3 linked regions of the Alligator mississippiensis genome follow. The protein of the gene in region 1 interacts with the protein of each later gene in a biochemical or structural test. Links are inferred from orthologs where the notes say so. Each region holds a gene or a part of one and is shown in the gene's direction. Other genes may lie near its edges.

Evidence for each region.
Region 2: of the proteins of PPARG (region 1) and CDK5, one has a biochemical effect on the other in vitro, tested with the Homo sapiens proteins (3 studies listed by BioGRID, with this or other methods). The link is inferred for Alligator mississippiensis from reciprocal best matches to the Homo sapiens genes PPARG and CDK5.
Region 3: the proteins of PPARG (region 1) and NCOA6 interact in a test that uses a peptide from one of them, tested with the Homo sapiens proteins (2 studies listed by BioGRID). The link is inferred for Alligator mississippiensis from reciprocal best matches to the Homo sapiens genes PPARG and NCOA6.

Annotation. Positions count from the first base shown.
Region 1 is NC_081835.1:30,992,498-30,996,241, reverse strand, and holds the start of PPARG (peroxisome proliferator-activated receptor gamma), read left to right. Parts: upstream 1-808; 5' UTR 809-811; coding exon 812-1,031; intron 1,032-3,744. UniProt on the Homo sapiens protein: Nuclear receptor that binds peroxisome proliferators such as hypolipidemic drugs and fatty acids.
Region 2 is NC_081828.1:220,005,667-220,009,410, reverse strand, and holds the start of CDK5 (cyclin-dependent kinase 5), read left to right. Parts: upstream 1-1,394; 5' UTR 1,395-1,467; coding exon 1,468-1,504; intron 1,505-1,652; coding exon 1,653-1,741; intron 1,742-1,826; coding exon 1,827-1,894; intron 1,895-1,972; coding exon 1,973-2,033; intron 2,034-2,114; coding exon 2,115-2,171; intron 2,172-2,258; coding exon 2,259-2,354; intron 2,355-2,439; coding exon 2,440-2,514; intron 2,515-2,713; coding exon 2,714-2,810; intron 2,811-2,909; coding exon 2,910-2,979; intron 2,980-3,097; coding exon 3,098-3,158; intron 3,159-3,232; coding exon 3,233-3,313; intron 3,314-3,744. UniProt on the Homo sapiens protein: Proline-directed serine/threonine-protein kinase essential for neuronal cell cycle arrest and differentiation and may be involved in apoptotic cell death in neuronal diseases by triggering abortive cell cycle re-entry. Interacts with D1 and D3-type G1 cyclins.
Region 3 is NC_081832.1:23,729,819-23,733,562, forward strand, and holds the start of NCOA6 (nuclear receptor coactivator 6), read left to right. Parts: upstream 1-1,076; 5' UTR 1,077-1,185; intron 1,186-3,744. UniProt on the Homo sapiens protein: Nuclear receptor coactivator that directly binds nuclear receptors and stimulates the transcriptional activities in a hormone-dependent fashion. Coactivates expression in an agonist- and AF2-dependent manner.

The DNA of each region.
Region 1 (3,744 bases):
GTAGGCTTCATGCTCTCAGCATAGGCTACCATCTCTGCAAGTTTCATCCAGATCAGACAAAAACAACAAAGTTATAGATATTTCATTGATTCCCCATTACACCCTATGGCCGGATCTCCAAAGCAGCTCTGAAGCTTCAGAGCCATTTCTGCCGAATCGAAGCGGGAACCCAATCCGGAGCTCTGGATTGGATCCCTGGCATCTGAAGCAGCCGGATCCGAAGCTGAATCATATAGCTGCCTATTCACACAGGCCTAATTAAGACCATTAACAAAAGAGACAGGGGTGTTAACACCTGTGAAGTGAGAGCAGTTAGCAGGAATCAGTTAGATTATGATGAGACATGAAATCAATTGACTCCCTCAGCCAGTCCTGAATAGAAATGCTGCTGCTGTCCTGTACATTTGTCTTTAAATTTGGGTTGAGCAGGAATGAAAATGGGTTGTGATTGCACCACTCCACCCCCTTCTGGATCTGCCCCTGCTGGACTCCGCCCCTCCCTAAATGGGGCTGCTGGAGGGAAAAGAAGGAAAAGAAGCAGAAGCCACTTTACAGCATCTTCCTGCTTCTTTTTTGGGCAGAAAAAAATTAGCTTCCCAGCTTACAACAATGTATTCCAGTTCTGGGGAAAGGTGTGCAAGTTAATATGATAGTTTAAATTCTCAGTATATCATGCTTCCTGTGTATATTTTTGTCATTTATTCCCAAAATCACTTTGTCATATGAAGCTTTCAAGCCCCATTGCACAAAGAAAAAGCCAACTCTTTAAATGTCTGTCTGTTTTTCTCCTTTTTTTTTGGTAGGAATTACAATGGTTGACACAGAAATGCCATTTTGGCCGATTAATTTTGGAATTAACTCAGTGGATCTCTCTGCAATGGATGATCACTCCCATTCCTTCGATATAAAGCCATTTACAACCGTTGATTTTTCTAGCATTTCTTCACCACATTATGAAGATATTCCTCTTGCAAGAACTGACCAGACAGTCCTTGATTACAAATATGACATCAAGCTTCAGGAGTGTCAAAGTAAGTAATTTCTTTTTACATCTCAGAATATACCTATTTGAATTGCATAGTGCTTTAAGAAGCATGCCCTCAACAAAAGAGCTTTGTTTCAGACCCTTTGGAATAAGGGTCACATCTTTAGACAAAAATGTTCTTGAAGCTTTATTTAAAAAATAACCAAATCAAATATCTTTCATCTAGGGCTGTGCAAAGCTTCGGGTAGTGATTAAATTTGGAGGAGATTTGGCCCGATTTGGTGGCCGAATCTCTGAATACAAATCAAATCAGGGGAGCAATTAAAAGGTCTGAATTGATTCAAAGCTCTCTGAATCTTCGGAAAAGATTCGGAGAGCTTTGATTCTTCGGACAGTCCCTGGTGGCTGTAGCAGGGAGCTGGACCCAGACTCCATTCTGGTAAGTGGGAGGGTGATGGGGGAGGGGACCATGGGGGACCCCTGCCAGCCCGTATCCCCTGCCTGCTCCCCCAGCCCTCCCACGGGTGCCCCATCTACCCCAGCTCCTGGCATTTTTTTAAAAAGCCCCAGTGCTCATTGGGTGCTGCTGAGCGGGGAATCAATCCTGGCTGCCCCCCACTGCCCCACTCTGCATGGAGGTCTCTGCATGAGCCCCCCGACCCCCCCCCCCTCACTCCCCCAGGCTCCCCACGGCTGCCCTGCCTGGGTCAGCGCTGGCCGTTTAAGAAAAAAAAAAACAAGAAAAACCCCAAGACTCACCAGCTCCTGCAGCAGCCTTGGGGCTTCTAGGGTCTCATGTGGATCGCTCCCACCAGCAGGAATGGTGTGTCGGGGGGGGGTTTGGGGGGGAGTTCTTAAAGGGCCATCACGGTGGACAGGGCAGCCATGGGAAGGGCTGGGGCTCAGACAGGGGGGGTTGGGGGGCTCATGGCAGAGCCCGCCATGCAGCATGGGGCAGTGGGGGGCAGCAGGGATCACCACCTGCCCGGCAACACCCACTGAGTCGGGGCTTTTTTTTTTAACAAGTGCCAGGAGCTGGGGTGGGCAGGGCAGCGATTGCCCAGCTGGGGGGGATGGGCCTGGCTGATTTGGAGATTCAGCAGCAGCCAAATCTCTGAATCAGATTTGGCTGAATCAAATCAGGACAGTGATTTGAATCACCAAATTGAATCACTGTCCCCTGAATCAGCCAAATCTGAAGCGAATACTAGCCACTTCGCACAGGCCTGCTTTCATCTGATAAGAGGGCTAGCATTTCCATAGCATGTTACCTAAAAGTGAGAATCTCTTTTGCATCCTAAGCTGTTTAATGAAATCGTGGCCTAAATCTTGTCTGTATTAGGGAAGTTTGTATTAATATGACAATATTGATTTTTCTAATGTAGGGAAGCCCTTAGAATTGTACAGTTTACCTTTGGTATTGCTAGAGGATAGCAAAGAAGCCCCTAGCTTCTGAGTTGTCAGTAACACCTCAATTGAACCTTTCCCAGTCAGGCTTGGTCACCCTACTCCTGCTGAAGATCAGATTATTGACCTTCTGTTGCAAGATCAGCTAGAAGATTCTTTGACCTGATATTATTTTTGTTTGTGGGCAGAAACATAGCTAGGGCAGGGGAACCGGGGCTTCTGCAGCGTCGTGATCACACCAGTGGCAAGAGGCATCTGGAAGTTGCTGCTGCTCTCTTACGTCACAGCTGCCATGGGCAAGTAGCTGCATTGTTAAGCCTCTATTTGGGATTCAGTTCTTTAGCCATTTATTATAGGGAAGATACAAAGAGAAGCTGTGCAGTTCCACTGAACCACTATTTAACCCAATAGGTGAAAAAACATTTTTATATATAACCATTTCTTTGGTAGGAAATACCCATGAGGCTCTAATAACCCAGCATAGAAACAAATAGAATATAAAATCTTGATGCCCTCAATGAGGCAACTTTCCATTAACATGACTGTGAAGACTTTGGGATTTGGTCTTTTCTAACATTCTAAAATATCAGAACGATTTTTATCTTGACATCCAGTTGTTGCAAAGAAGGTGAACTGCAAGTGTTATAAAAAGGTATTTAAAGACTGATTAAAAACCATTGTCCTCCTGTTAAATATCCATGTTCATAATTAATTATTAAATGCATATTTTTGATTTTTTGCTATAATTTATTGTCTGTCAACTGCTAAATTCTGTCCTTAACTTTGCTGGTTTGGAGAGCACCTGTCCTATTCGTATGATTAGTGATCATGGGTAGAAAGATCAATGCTTTCTTTTATGGTCAACACTGTAGATCGTTGAAGATTTACCATATTTGTTTGTGTTTACTGGGATGCTTCAGTGAACAACTTTCATAAGAGAAAGATGGTAACAGTAAGCTGCCACTGGGTGCATCTACATGTGTGCTTTACTGTGGAGTTGACAAATTAGCTCCACAGTAAAGTGACACCATCCACACTCACACTTAGGGCCGGTCCAAGGGTAACTGGCACCTTAGGCAAACTGTTTACCTTGGTGCCCCCACCACTTCCAATATAGAGGAAAATAAGAAGTCTAGAATGAACTTTTACATGTACTTATTTGATATTCAAAATGAACAGTAAAACAATAAAAACAAAAACAGTATTGATTATTTCACACTTTTCATTAACCCTAGCAATTATACTGCAAAAAATCTAATAGAATCTATTATAATGTGTACAATTAAAAGAAAATCTTCACGAACATTTGTGTAAGAAATGAGAACTTTGCTGTTCATGCTTTCAGTTTTGTA
Region 2 (3,744 bases), on another chromosome or scaffold:
CCGCCCGCACCGCAGAGCCCAGTGCCCCGGTGCGCTGCCCGCACTGCGCTGCCCGCACTGTGTCGCCCAGCGCCCCGACGCGCTGCCCCGCCGCCTGCACTGCAGAGCCCTGCTCCCTGCCCCGACGCGCTGCCCTGCCGCCCGCACCGCAGAGCCCAGTGCCCCGGTGTGCTGCCCGCACTGTGCCGCCCAGTGCCCCGACACGCTGCCTGCACTGCAGAGCCCTGCTCCCCGCCCCGCCGCGCTGCCCTGCCGCCCGCACCACAGAGCCCAGGGCCCCGATGTGCCACCCACACCGTGCCACCCAGCGCCCCGACGCGCTGCCCTGCCGCCCGCACCGCAGAGCCCAGGGCCCCGACGTGCCACCCACACCATGCCACCCAGAGCCCCGCCGCGCTGCCCCGCCGCCTGCACTGCAGAGCCCTGCTCCCTGCCCCAACGCGCTGCCCTGCCGCCCGCACCGCAGAGCCCAGGGCCCCGATGTGCCACCCACACCGTGCCACCCAGCGCCCCGACGCGCTGCCCTGCCGCCCGCACCGCAGAGCCCAGTGCCCCGGTGCGCTGCCCGCACTGCGCTGCCCGCACTGTGTCGCCCAGCGCCCCGACGCGCTGCCCCGCCGCCTGCACTGCAGAGCCCTGCTCCCTGCCCCGACGCGCTGCCCTGCCGCCCGCACCGCAGAGCCCAGTGCCCCGGTGTGCTGCCCGCACTGTGCCGCCCAGTGCCCCGACACGCTGCCTGCACTGCAGAGCCCTGCTCCCCGCCCCGCCGCGCTGCCCTGCCGCCCGCACCACAGAGCCCAGGGCCCCGATGTGCCACCCACACCGTGCCACCCAGCGCCCCGACGCGCTGCCCTGCCGCCCGCACCGCAGAGCCCAGGGCCCCGACGTGTTGCTCTCGCCATGCCGCCCAACACGATGCCCTGCGCCCTGCCGCCGCACGGCGATGCCCAGCGCCCGACGCGCCGTGTATCCCTGCCCGCTGCCCCGAGGCGCCCCCGCGCCCCCGCCTCGGGGAGGGGCAGCGATGTCACGGTGGCGGGCGGCCGCGTGCCCCGCGCATGGTGCCAGCCCCCCCGCCCCGCCCCGCCCCGCCCCGCCCCGCTCACCTGCACGGGGGGCCCGGCCTGGGGGGGCCACACCCCGCACGTGGCACGAGGGGGCACCCCGGGCTGCCTGGGCAAAAGGGGGCAATCCCGGGGGGGCCGCGCTCACCTGCCGCCGCCTGCGCCGGGGGGAGGAGGGGGGGGCCGCGGCTCCTTCCTCCCCCCGCAGGCCCCGCCCCCCCGGACTGCCCCCCATTGCCCGGGGAGAGGGGAAAGGGGCGGGGCGCGGTGCACGCCGGGCGTTGTAGTCCCGCGGGGCGGGGCGGGGCGGGGCGGGGCGGCGCGGTGCATGCCGGGAGACGGAGTGGTCGCGGGGCAGGCCGGGAGGTGTAGTGCGGCGCGGGGCGGCGCGGGGCGCGGAGCCATGCAGAAATACGAGAAGCTGGAGAAGATCGGGGAAGGTGCGGGCCGGGCCGGGCCGGGCCGGGCCGGGCGGGCGGGGGGGGGGGGCAGGGTTGGACCCGGGATCGGGCCCATCCATGCGCGGGGGCGGGGCGCGGGATCGGGCCCGCTGACCCCCCGCCCCGCCCCGCCCCGCCCCCCCCGCAGGGACGTACGGGACCGTGTTCAAGGCCAAGAACCGGGAGACGCACGAGATCGTGGCGCTGAAGCGGGTGCGGCTGGACGACGACGACGAGGTGCGGGGGGGAGGGGCACCGCGACACGTGGGTCGGGGTGGGGGGGCACGTGCCCCCCCTTGACCCGTGGCCGGTGCCGCCGCAGGGGGTGCCCAGCTCGGCGCTGCGCGAGATCTGCCTGCTCAAGGAGCTGAAGCACAAGAACATCGTCAGGTCGGGATCGGGGCCGGGGCGGGGTGGGGGTGGGGGTCCGGGCCCCGGCCCCGCCCCGGCTCACGGCCCTGTCCGCAGGCTGCACGACGTGCTGCACAGCGACAAGAAGCTGACGCTGGTCTTCGAGTTCTGCGACCAGGTAGGGCCGCGGGGGGCCGCGGGGCCCCCACCCCCGCTGTGACCCCTGACCCGACCCCTGACCCCGCGCTGTCCCGCCCAGGACCTCAAGAAGTACTTCGACAGCTGCAACGGGGACCTGGACCCCGAGATCGTCAAGGTGGGCGCGGGGCGCGGGGGGCGGCGCTGGACCCGCGTCGGCGTCGGTGCCGGTGCCGGGCGGCGCTGATACCGCGCTCCTCCGCAGTCCTTCATGTACCAGTTGCTGAAGGGCCTCGGCTTCTGCCACAGCCGCAACGTGCTGCACCGCGACCTCAAGCCCCAAAACCTGCTCATCAACCGGGTGAGTCGGGGCGCCGGGGCCGGGGCCGGGGCCGGGGGGGCTGGCAGCGCGCGGGGCGGCCGTGACGCCGCGCCGTGCTCCGCAGAACGGGGAGCTCAAGCTGGCGGATTTCGGCCTGGCCCGCGCCTTCGGCATCCCCGTGCGCTGCTACTCGGCCGAGGTGAGTGCGCGCCCGCGGCCCTCGCGCCGTGCGGGGCACCCCCACCATGCCACGGCGCGTGGGGGGACTGCCTTGCACCACCCCGCACCTCGGTGCTGCCGGGGTCGAGCGCCCACCTGCCCCCGCCCCCCGCGGCGCCCTGCCCCCGTGCCCCTGGCCCGGGGGGGTGTGCGGCGCACTGCCCGTCCGTGCCCCGCAGGTCGTCACGCTGTGGTACCGGCCCCCGGACGTGCTCTTCGGCGCCAAGCTCTACTCCACCTCCATCGACATGTGGTCGGCCGGCTGCATCTTCGCAGGTGCCGGGGCGCGTGGGCCGGCGGCGCGGCGCGGCCTGGCTGGGCTGGGGGCCGGGAGTCTGCCGGCTGCCCGCTGACCCCTCGCGCTCCTCTCCGCAGAGCTGGCCAACGCGGGGCGGCCCCTCTTCCCCGGCAACGACGTGGACGACCAGCTGAAGAGGATTTTCCGATATCCTTGGGTACGAGGGGGCGGGACAGGGCGTGTGGGGGGTCTGTGGCTGCTGGGTGTCGGGCCTCATGGCCCCAAGGTCCCTTCTGGTCCCGTGGCCCTTAACTCGGCCGCCCACGCTGCTGGGCACCCCGACTGAGGAGCAGTGGCCAGCCATGACCAAGCTTCCCGACTACAAGGTAGGCAGGGGCAGCTGCCTGGGACAGGGGCGAGGGGCAGGGAGCCCCCGGACTCACGCCGCCCGTCCCCGCAGCCTTACCCCATGTACCCGGCCACGACGTCGCTGGTGAATGTGGTGCCCAAGCTGAATGCCACCGGCCGGGACCTGCTGCAGGTGAGAGCGCCGCCCCGCCCCGCCAGGGACTCGGCCTCCGCGGCGGGCACGGCCTCGCATGCCTGGGGGGCCCCGGGGTCGTCGTCTCCTGCCCCCTGCGCAGGGGTGGCTGTGCGTCTCTGGCTCCTGCTGCTCCCATGCTGGGGAAGCCTCTCCAGCTGGGCCCCGAATCTGCAGCCCCTGCCGCCCCACCCCGTGCTGCCTTGTGCCCTGTGCGGGCATAGCTGGGTCCCTGCCAAGCGGGGCGTCCTCGGGGCTGCAGCACGTGGGGTGGGAGCCAGCTGCCCCTCTGCCTCCTCTCAGCACCCCCCTTAGCCAGGCCACCTTGGACCCCAGGCTGCCCCAGCTCCTGCGGTAGGGGTGGGTGTCCCGGGGGTGAGGGCATTGCTCCCTGCGGCCGGGCCAGCTCCCTGCTCACGCCACCCCCTTTG
Region 3 (3,744 bases), on another chromosome or scaffold:
ACTACAATATATTTATTTTCACTACCACCACGGAAAGATGGCCTTGTGATTAAAGGACTGGCAAACAGAAGACTGAACTGCTGTTCCCAGTGCCACAGATTTCCTGTGTTACCTTAGCATTGCTCGTTTTAACAACTTTATAGGACCAGCATGTAAAATCCTATGGCTGCTCATCTTTTAAGCCATTTTCAGGTGGACTTCCATGCTATTTCAGACAGGTGCAATAACCTGCCTGCACAAAACATCTTGTAAGACTGGAGCCTTACTAATTAACTGTGCGTATGTGCACAGTTAAAACCCCTCCACTCCACTATGTCTGACTGCCTCAGGTTACCCTGCTGTAAGACAGAGATGTGATAAAGGAATAATTTACTGATATTTATAAAGCAGATTGAGACTCTAGCTTTGAAAGTGCTGTAGGTATCAAGCTGTGCCACCTACTATTTTTCTACAAAGGCCCCATTTTCCTTCTACAGCTTTATCCAGGCAGTGACTTTGGATTGCAGAGCTGGATAGAAATAGCAACACAAATCACCAGAAGCTAGGCAAGCTTCAGCGGTCTGGATTGGGGGTGTAGAGCGACTGGTCCAAAGGTGGGGGAACAGTTTAGCCTGTGGTGTCACAGAGACACACCAGTCATGGATTAATAAGACGTTGTGCTGGGGGCCACGAAGGTTCAGCAGCCGTGGGGCATGACTCGAGCCTGGTTCCTGGGCGCAAGGCCTCGGGTTTCACTGCAGGTGCGCTGGGGGGCAGGAGGACTTCAGCCCCTGAGCTTCCCCGCCTGACAAGGGAGGGTGCGTGCGCGGGGTCGCTGTTCTCGAGCTCCACGCTGGAAGGCCGGGGATGTGCGCGGGGCCGTACGAGGCCGGTGGCGGGGAGCCGCCCGCACAGTCGGGGCGCCGCGCGCGGCAGGCCGGCAGGCCCGTCCCCGGGGCCGCGGGCGGGGCGGGGCGGGGCTCGGGCGAGCGGCCTCCCCGGGCGCGCTGGGCGGCAGGCGCGGCGGTGGCGTGTCCCGGCCCGTCACGTGGTGCCGAGGGCGGAGCCGCGGCGGCTGCGGGCGCGTCCTGGGCGCTGGGCAGGCACCGAACCGACCCCGGCCCGGCGCGGCCCGGCGGAGCGGGGCCCAACACGGGCCTCGGCTCGCGGCAGCCGCGCGGAGCGGGCCCGCGGCGGCGCCCCAAGGTCAGGGCAGGGCAGGGCAGGGCAGGGCAGGGCGGGGAGGGGCTGAGCCGGGCCGGGCCGGGCCGGGCCGGGCCTGAGGTCAGAGGCCGGGCCGGGCCCCTCCGTGCAGCCCGTCAGGCCGGGCCGGGGCGGCTGTGACAGGGAAGCGGAAGCGGGGCGGCGGGTGTGAGGGAGCGGCCTGGCGGTGCGGGCCGGGCCCGCGGGGCGGGGCGGGGCGGGTCTGGCCCCCCCGGCCGCAGCACAAAGCAGGGCCCCGGCGCGGGCGGAGCCGCGTTGTCCGCAGGCCCCGCGCTGTCACGGTCCGGCCGAGCCGCCGGCTCCTGTTGTCTGGAGCCGGCCTGGTCGCAGCGAGCCCGCCCCCCGCGCGGCTCCTCCCCCGGCCGGCTCGGCTCGGCTCCGCTCGGCCGCGGCCCCATGCAGCGCTGCCGCGCACTGCGGCCGCCAGTGCTCGGGCTGGGCCGGCTACGCCCGCCCCGGACCCCTGCCCTTGAGCTGCGCTGACCCCGCCGCTCGGTCCGCGCGCCAGGCCCCCGCCTGCCCCGGCCCGTCCTGTCCTGTCCTGCACTGCACGGCAGGCCCGAGCCCGCGGAGGGGAAGCAGCGGCCTGATCCGGAAAGGGCTAACGAAGGCCGAGGTTTTACTTTGGGGGTGGGGGTGAGTGGGGGGACAGGTTGGCTTCCTCCCAAAGCCGCGGGGACATCAGTGCAGTATCAGCATGGAGACTTGCTTGTCTAGTGCAGGGCTTTTTATTCTGCCTGGGCCCCTGTTGGGTTTGTTTCCCCTGTTTCTCAACCTTGAACAAGTGCAGGCAAAACTGGCCCCTACATTCAGTCAGTGACTTATATTTGAATCCTCCACAGCCCCTTTGGAAAGGAGCCAGGTAACAAACCCTTTCTAGCCTTCTGGGGGAAGTTCCCTTTAGTTGACAGTAGAGCCATCTGGGATGGTTGTGCTTGAGCTGAGTTGGGTATCGGACTTCTCCACTGGCTCTCCAGAGGCAGGCTTTGAGAGCGAGCTAAGATATGTACAAGAATTTTGGTGGGAATCAAGCAGAGATGACATTTAATTTTAGTCTTCTGCTTTGTTTCTCTTTAAATCCCCCCCAACGTGCACCACTTTAATTAGGTTGCAAATACTTGTCAATATCTGTCTCATGCCTACTCACTTGCCCACACGTGCAGTATGAGAGAGTGAGTGCACGCAAGCATTGAGCCTCAGATTCACTTAATCAGATGCTGACACCTGTTATATTTACAGTTATAGCAAGTGTAGTCTTTCTTATACCTACAAGGTTAAAATAAAATATTTTGTCTTTACATTTCAGTTACACTGATATGTATATACAACCTAATTGAAGTGGTGCATTTTGGGGGGGATTTAAATAGAGACAAAGCAGAGGAGTAACATTAAATGTCATCTTTGCTTAATTTGATTCTGTGCATGCACTCACTGAATTTAGAGGCTCCATGCAGAGTTGTGTACATCAAGACCTTTAGAAAATTGGACAATAGATGTGTCCAGTCACGCACCCAAAGTTAGTGGTCACTTTTGAACTGTGTGTGTGTGTGGGGGGGGGGGGGGGAGGGTGTCTCTTTGCCTTCTAATTTACCACCCTATTCATTGGATCACAATTCTTCATTTAAAACTTAGCTTAGACTATCTTGGCTTTATCATGTGTCAGGTATCTGCCTGCCCAGAGGAATTTTCCATTTATTGACTCCTCTGTGAAATCCTGTGAAATAAGAACTTTTGTTTCTACCCAGGAGAACTTTTACAATCTTTTCTCCAATGCCTGATGAAGGGTGTTTGTGCCCAAAAGCTTGCAATTTAAAGAATTTTTTTTGCAAGATCTTGTTGGTCTAATAAAAGATGTTATCTCTACTACAAGCCCTGATTGCTTTTGGCTTTATCATGACATTTTGTGTGGTGGTACTGGGCTCCTAATTCTCATTATAAAGGCCCCTCACCCTAACTGGCTCCTGTTTGTAGACCTGCTGTTTTTCTGAAGTATGTTTGTCACTTCTCCAGGTGATACAGTTACGAAATCCCTCCCTACCTTAGGTTTCAATTCTTCTTTTTAATATAGATGTCCACAAACTGGAGTTCCTGTGGTCAACACTATCCGTAAAAGCCTGTCTCTAGATCTTAAATGAAGAAGTTGCTTGTTAAGGAGCTTGCTGTTAAGGCAGTTTCATGTTAAGTGCAATGAAATATTTTAGCCTAGAAATACTGTGCATCTAGTAAACTCCCTTGAAATTTTGGAAATCCAGGCTTTGTAAACTTTGTAACTTTGTAAACTGTTTAAACTTTTAATAGCTTAAACACTAGAGAGTATGGACCTGCAGAGATACATTTCAGTGAATACCCTTAACACTACTTTGTATGAGGTCTGTAAGATAATTATGACCACAGCCCCATATAACTCGGCTATGGGTGTTTAAATATTTTAAATCCAGTAAATGTTATCAGTTCATTTCTATAGACTTTTTAAAGTCTATATTAGTGGTTATCTTAACATCTAATGTATTTCAATTAGTGGCTTGAATCCAGCTAAGTTGC